Linked DNA regions of Neurospora crassa OR74A. The protein of the gene in region 1 interacts with the protein of each later gene in a pairwise test. Links are inferred from orthologs where the notes say so. Each region holds a gene or a part of one and is shown on either strand. Other genes may lie near its edges.

Region 1 (3,824 bases):
GGTTTAGACTGAGGAGGCGGGAGCCTTTGTTGGAGAGAAGGGAGTGGTTGGGCTTGAAGAGGAGGGAGATGGCTGGAGAGGTGCCGGTTAGTGTTGCCGATGCTTTTAGGAGTGATTAAGCGGGGAAGACATGTGTGGAGGTAGGAAGATGTGTGACACTTGACTGTATATTTTGTATTAATCTTGATGCATACGATGGTTGTAGAATCGCATTACACTCAGAGTTACAGATAGAGAACTACCTTGGGAAAATTCTCCAACGGACAAAAACACCCAGACCAATACCACTCTGCATCAACGCCAATTTTAATTACCCGTTATGTATCCATTTCGTCCCCATTTTTCCTCTTTCCTTCTTCTCTCATCACTCCCTTCACCATTCCGTTTGTTATGCTATCCTGACTTTATTCAACCCAAACAAAGCCATGAGGGGTAAGACAAGCCAGCCTACACTGACGTTGCCGAAACTTCCAACGCCGGCATGGACTCGATGAAAAGGTCCCCTGGTTGGCAAACAGGGGGCAACTTTGAGCAATCAAAGAAAAGTGGAGGATCTCAGTAAGGGTCAGTTAGTGGTTCTGTCGGTAGAGGAGACGAGATAAGAGATGGTCATGCGGCCGATGCCATGCCATGCCATGCTATGCCATGCCATGTATGCAGTACCCGTACCACGTGCACACCCGAACGGCCGCCGGCATCAGGAAGGCTGGGGATTGCATAAGGTTCGGTAATATATGCTTATTGCACACAAGTATTGAACAAGTACACACACAAATTGTACACACACACACATTACTCTTTCAATCCCAAATCCCTCTCCAAATCCGCCCACCTTCCACTCCGCATCGGATCCAGCTTCTTCAAGTTTCCCAACCAGCCCTTCAGGTCCTTCTCTTCCTGCTCATTCGGCTTTCTCCCCTGCAGCTGACAGAGATAAAGGGTATAGTCGAACAAGGCCTCATAAATCAACTTGGCGTCGTCGTAATCTTCCAACAGCTCCTGGATGCTCTCGATTTCGCGGCGCAGGTACGTGACGCGCTCCTCTTGCGTGAAGGCGGGGGCGATGGTCGGATGCTCAGCAGAGTTGACTAGGTTCAGCATGAGGAATTGGTGGTAGTACCAAAGGGATTGATCGTCGGGGCCGACGTTGATTGCTTCTCCTATTTTGTTGAGTTCTAGTATACGGACGTGGTTAGTTCTCATCCGACCGATTTTTCCCATTTGGCTAACGTAGTGACGGGAGGGGGTGGGAAAACTGACCTTCTTCAAAGAAAGCCTTCCGCGCCTCATCATTTGCGTTTCTCTCATCCAGCAACCGCGGGATGAGCTTGCTTCGCGAGTGCCAGGCCGAAAAGTTGGAGAGGTTCTGTGAAATCTTCTTGGTCGTGAACTCAAACTCTGACTCGACAAGACTCTTGCCTTCCAACTCTGGACTCTCCAGCTGCTCCACCACGTGCCGCCTGTATCCCCAGGCGTGGAAGTTGCGCTGGTCTCGCAGGAGCATCTTGGAGGTCAGACCCAGTTCTTCCTCCCATATGTTTCGCGCTACAGGGACCGGCAGTCTTTCAATCACCTGCTTGAGGATCCACAGCCGGTAGCTCCAGATCCAGTAGCATTTTGGCGATTCGAGGAGGAGCGGAATGGTAAAGTGCAGTTCCTTCTGGAGTATTTGTTGGTCGTTCTGTTGATCCTGCTGCCGCGTCTGCTGCTTCTGTTCCTCGTCGTCCTCAGCTGTTATACCACTCTTCCCAGTTGTCTGGGACTCGGGGGCGGGCGGGGTCTCGGTCGACAAAGAGGAGGAGAAGTCGGCGGAAGAGGTTGTGGTAGTGGCGGTCGGAGAAGAAGTCGGCAACGCCTTCGAGGGCGAGGAGCCAGGCGAGGGCTTGGACAATAATCCAGAGATTAGGCAGCGCCTGCGGACGTTCCATACTGTGTAGTACTCGGGGTTGAGGCGCAGGAGCTTGGAGGTGAGGGCGAAGACGTCGGAGGAGTAGTCGTTCTTTGCGGCGTGATGGCGCACCTGGTCCTCAAGAGCGCGGTAGTCCTTGATGCGCTCGAGGTCCTTCTGGCGCTGCTCTTCGGTGCGCGTTCTCGAGGTGCGGGCTATGCCGTGGTTCGATCCGCCTTGCTGGGATGCGTCTCCCCATCAGTCAACAGCCTGCCAAAGTACCTAGCGTCTAGACTGGAGTCCGGTTGTGTCTTACATCGGCCATGATACTGCTATCAACTGTCAACGGGTTGGTTTCAGGGGCTAGGTTGGATGGGAAATCGGGGCTTGCCTGAAAGGCACATACATGTTCCGTAGCCTTTGATGAGGTGACGTCGGAGAGGATGGGACGGGGCAGGCAACTGCTAACAGCGCGCTATGCCTACTGTGGTGTAGCGTCGTATGGCAATGCCGCTGGTTACCGGGAGAGCCCTGGCCTGTGTGAAGGCTTGGCGCAACAGCTCCAGTGCGAGTGGGACGTAATGAACGAGCTTATCGGTCTTATCGTGGATGTCAGTTACAATAACATCATGCAGGAACGAACTTCCACACCCAATCCTCCGTTCCTCTTTCCATCTTTCAACCCTTTTGATTCTGTGTTGTGTCTGGTCCTGGATGTGCCTGTGGTTCTTACCAACAGAACAATTACTTAATGTCTACTACTACCGACCTTGGGCATCGTGCCTTCTTGATATGGGAGAATGGCCAGCATCCTGCAATGGATTGCAGTCAAAACAAAATGTCCACCCCAACTGAACCTCGCCGGTCTCGGCATGGTCTCGTTGGGACTCACCCGTCCTCTGCCTATTCAGAGTTACTCTTTCCTATTGTGCAGACTTGGGATGACAGAGTTTTCGCTCCAACTGACCCGATCTTGCCTGCCTGTTTGACCTGTTATTGCTGAGTGTTCAGTCATCTCATGAGTTCCCTGTGCCTGACTGACCTCCTGATTGACCAGCAAACTTCTTCCACTTGAACCTTCGAGGTTGACAAACGAAACTGAACTTACTACTTCATCACAACCTGCTTCACATCCGGGGGCGTTCTTGCACTCACACACACAAACACTCACTTCACTAGGATATTGCGCTTCATCAATCAGTTGAAATGGCCGGCGTGGACGTCTAGGTGACGCTTTCTCAGTTTCGACATCAGTCTTCCCTCACAGAAAACTGCTGACCTCAACCTCATCGTCAACCCCCCCCAAATACGCCTCCTCGACTCCATCTTCTTTTCCTCCTGCTTCTTCCTAGGAACACGCACCCGGAATTATTACTACGCTTCCACCACCATAGCAGCAGCACTACTAACAATACCAGCATTTGAATACGGTTACTATCCTCGGACGGCGACTCGAGCACCGTTCGAGCACACCGACGACAAGTATTGCTTCTCGTCCAGGTTCTCGCACACAGCTCGACGTCTTTGTCGCTCCACACGCCCTTCGTTACCAGCAGATTCTCCCGGTTCTTATCATCACCATCTATCACTTCATTCAACCGACTTCACCAAACAATCTCATCACTCCAGCTTCGACAACCTGTGTGGTCTCGAGCTTGATGGGACCGGTTCACTAAACATTCTTTTTCCAGCTCATCTTTTTCTCACTTGAGGTCTGCTACTCGTGCTATCATCAGTACCTCGGTATATATCGGCTGTATCTTCGCTATGGGCAACGACAACAGCAATCGTGGCTCACGAGCCTTCGTTCCTGGGCCCACAGGCACAATGACATTTCACACGCCTTTTCCCCTGCTCCAAGAAGCCCAACGTCAATATCACGTCTGTGGCTCACCTTATGAGTCCCCTCACAGCTCCTCCGACTCTGGCTACGGCT
Region 2 (3,644 bases), on another chromosome or scaffold:
GCTGTCACGGCGTTTGAGAGTCTGGAGGGCCTGGCCGGACTACACCAAGTCCATTTCGGGACTAGCTCCAGGAACACCGCGAGGCCAAGCCCGAAACTGTTGCTGTCCTTTCTCGATTCTCACTGGCTGCTCAACTGTTCTCTCGTCCCATTTGCTGGACGGCCATGTCTTCCGCGACAAGCGCTGTCTCCAATCCGACAGGACGGGTTCAACGTTGCTTCCAGCGCTTCACTGCAACTTTTCTTTTTTTTCACCAAACTTTGAGGTCTTTTGTTGAATCATATGACGGCATCATGTTGAATATGTGAATCAAGGGCAAACAATCGCGTCGAAACATGCCCTACAGCTACCTATCAAAAGTCTGGAACTCTACCGGAGACTTGGGCCTTGCTTTCCGGTGGTTTCAGCCACCACCTCCCGTTCCTGGACTAAAGAGTCTCGATTCACAAGTGACATAGATGCATCACGGCAAGATTCGACCTGGGCAGTCCACGTTGCAAAGTCCAAAACACCAAGCCAAGACCCGTCACCGAAGGCGTCTCGATCATGATTGCACGAGACCGTGATCTGCTGCAAGGACTACATAGTGTAAAGCTGCACTGCACTTACCCTGGCCAGATCTCGTAACATTGGACCGCATTCTTTTTTCCGATTTGACGGCCGTGGAAGAGGCTGGATGGCCGGACGTTGTTGCGCACTTGCGCCAGTCATCGACGTTGACGGTCGCAACGTTCGCTTCGAGATACGGTCTCAAATCGGCTGTGACACCGGTGTGCCCTACTCTACCCCCCCATGTAAACGAGAGGATACCGATTCGAAGCGCCGGTCAGATTCGTCATCTTGAAGCGCAAATTGGCCCAAGCAGGCATTCCAAACTGCCATCGTATGTCAACCAGCTGTTTTCGAGAAACAAGATCGTCACGCCTCATCAGGCTGTGGACAATGTCCCAAGTGGGTGGTGAGGGATGTCTTCCAGTTCAATTTGGATGGAGAGACAAATGCCTTCACCCCCCTGTACGATGACTGTTCGTATCCTCATCTTCAGCGCCGGTGCACTGTACACTTACTCGGTACGACTGCTGCCCAACCTATCAGCCCTTCATTTAAAAATAATCACGACATTCATGAGATGAAGCTCATTTACCTCATTTGCACTCGCGAGAGATCCCAAAAATCAAATGACTCTCGCAAATACGCGTGTCCCGCCTTTGGGGCATCTGCCAAGGTCACAAGAGATGATGAATTTGTCGGAGCTCTGATGATAATTGTCATTGCGCCTTTCCTCCTCCAGATTGAGCAAGTTGGAGAGGGCATTTCTTGGCATGGCGTCTGAATGGTGCAGTGTGGCTGCCAAGTACCGATTACGTAAGTAAGACCTCAGCGTCCATCTATGGTGGGGTAGTACCGGCGGGCAATGGAGGCTGAAGGGAATCGTTCAATCGTAACTCCGACTTCCGACTTCCGTTCCCACAATGCTGGTTCCTTGAATGCAGCCTAATCCCATCCAAGCTTCCACCCACCGCACCACACATAAAACCCTCAAATTCTCCAACATGACACAAAGCTTCACCTCTCTCCCGCAAGAGCTGCAGCTCGCAACCTCTGCCCACGTCAAGTACATCCAGAGTCTCGACTCCCGAAAGGACGAATATGACTACTGGTTGACGGAGCATCTGCGTCTCAATGGCCTCTACTGGGGCTTGACCGCTCTGCACCTCCTCGGCCACCCCGAGGCTCTCCCGCGCGCTGAGACCATCGACTTTGTGCTATCATGCCAGCACGAGAACGGCGGCTTCGGAGCGGCACCCGGCCATGATGCCCACATGCTGTCCACCGTCAGTGCCGTGCAGATCCTCGCCATGGTCGACGCCTTTGATGACCTCGAGACGCGTGGCCGGGGCAAGGCACAGGTCGGAAAGTGTGCGTTGCTTGTCATCAAACCTAGGTAAACCCCCATTGACACTTTGTACTGACACTGTCGGGTCCAGATATTGCCAGCCTCCAGAACCGCCAGACCGGCACGTTTGCGGGTGATGAGTGGGGTGAGGAAGACACTCGCTTCCTTTACGGCGCCTTCAATGCCCTTTCTCTTCTTGGCCTCCTTCACCTTGTCGATGTTGACAAGGCCGTTGACCACATTGCTGCGTGCGCCAACTTTGACGGCGGCTACGGTGTCAGCCCTGGTGCCGAGTCCCACTCTGGTCAGATCTTCACGTGCGTCGCTGCCCTCACCATTGCTGGCCGCAAGGAGCTCATTGACGTTGATCGCCTGGGCCGCTGGTTGAGTGAGAGGCAGATCGCTGGCGGCGGCTTGAACGGTCGTCCGGAAAAGAAGGAGGACGTGTGCTATAGCTGGTGGGTGCTGAGCAGTCTGGAAATGATTGGCAAGACGCACTGGATCGACAAGGCGAAGCTCACCAGCTTCATCCTGAGCTCGCAAGACACGGACAAGGGTGGCATCTCGGACAGGCCTGGCGACATGGTGGATGTCTGGCACACCTGCTTTGGTATTGCGGGTCTGAGTTTGCTGGACTATCCGGGCTTGGAGCCGGTTGACGAGGTGTATTGCATGCCCAAGTCGACCATCAAGCGTGTCCTGGGTCGTTAAGTGTGGTGTGATGTTGTCGGAATACAGTACGATGGCTCCTTCTATCAATCTCATCATCGTGACATGACACAGGATATCAACACAACTTACCTCCTGCCATCTAATAACCTTCCGACACGCACTCCAGGCGTCGGCAGGATACAAGGCGGGAGAAGAGAAACATCGTTCTCGTTTGGGCAAAAGACGTTATTGCATCCCTTCAGTGGGAATGTGAGGCGTTTGGAGCCCAGATGAGTAACTCCCTACTGGTTTATTGTTGCTTGAGAGTACCCAACATCAATCGACATGGTTAGGTAGGGGACATTCCATAGTGTTCCTATAATACAATTTTCTGTCACTTGAACCACTCGCACATTCTGTCTTTGTGTTGTCACTGTCTAATTGTCTACCTTTGCTCCTTGATGTTCTTGTTGGCACTCTTTGGTGTGTTCAATTCTTCTGACATTTGCAACCCAAGGCATAAAGCCATGATCCCTTCATCGTTTCCTTCGTCTTTCAAACTGAATTGTTCCTTGAGCTTTGTTTGAATGTAATGACCTGTTACTGCATCTACCCGTCTCGCAGCTTGGTCGCCTACCATTGGACAATTAGTTGCTGACTTGATGGTATCATTGAGAACAGTTTGAAGAAGTTGCCCGTTTGTTACGTTACCGTTGATTGAGATGCAGGGACATGAAATAGTCTCACCAACGACACTTGCCTTTGACATCAACAGTGAGTTCTATGAGCTGATAGCAAGTTTTCTCAGGCAACCTGGACACCTCTCGGGGCCGAAGATTAATCAACTTTTCCTGCGACTTCCTCCAGAAATCGTGATTTATTACGTTACAGTACCGCACTGCACACTCACCTTCCAGACTCACCCCTCCAAATCCGTGATGGTTGGGTCTTCTTCGTTCCTTCCCTCTCAGGCGAGCTCACCCACTTTCCTCGCCCACCGACTGACACTCAGGCACCAAGGTGCCCACAAATCTCATTGTACCTTCCTCAAACTGTCCTCAGATTCGTGATCAACCGTTCTTTCCATTGTGTGTGT

The links.
Region 2: the proteins of NCU01571 (region 1) and NCU07509 interact in binary tests that used the Saccharomyces cerevisiae proteins (3 or more experiments, as listed by UniProt). The link is inferred for Neurospora crassa OR74A from reciprocal best matches to the Saccharomyces cerevisiae genes BET4 and BET2.

What each region holds. Positions count from the first base shown.
Region 1 is NC_026502.1:3,049,148-3,052,971, reverse strand, and holds NCU01571 (hypothetical protein), read right to left. Parts: upstream 2,300-3,824; 5' UTR 2,214-2,299; coding exon 2,205-2,213; intron 2,129-2,204; coding exon 1,261-2,128; intron 1,176-1,260; coding exon 793-1,175; 3' UTR 666-792; downstream 1-665. Other genes in the region: NCU01570 (hypothetical protein), read left to right, coding at 1-119; NCU01572 (WD domain-containing protein), read left to right, coding at 3,656-3,824. UniProt on the Saccharomyces cerevisiae protein: Catalyzes the transfer of a geranyl-geranyl moiety from geranyl-geranyl pyrophosphate to proteins having the C-terminal -XCC or -XCXC, where both cysteines may become modified. Acts on YPT1 and SEC4.
Region 2 is NC_026501.1:354,935-358,578, forward strand, and holds NCU07509 (geranylgeranyltransferase beta subunit), read left to right. Parts: upstream 1-1,468; 5' UTR 1,469-1,487; coding exon 1,488-1,920; intron 1,921-1,988; coding exon 1,989-2,608; 3' UTR 2,609-2,957; downstream 2,958-3,644. UniProt on the Saccharomyces cerevisiae protein: Catalyzes the transfer of a geranyl-geranyl moiety from geranyl-geranyl pyrophosphate to proteins having the C-terminal -XCC or -XCXC, where both cysteines may become modified. Acts on YPT1 and SEC4.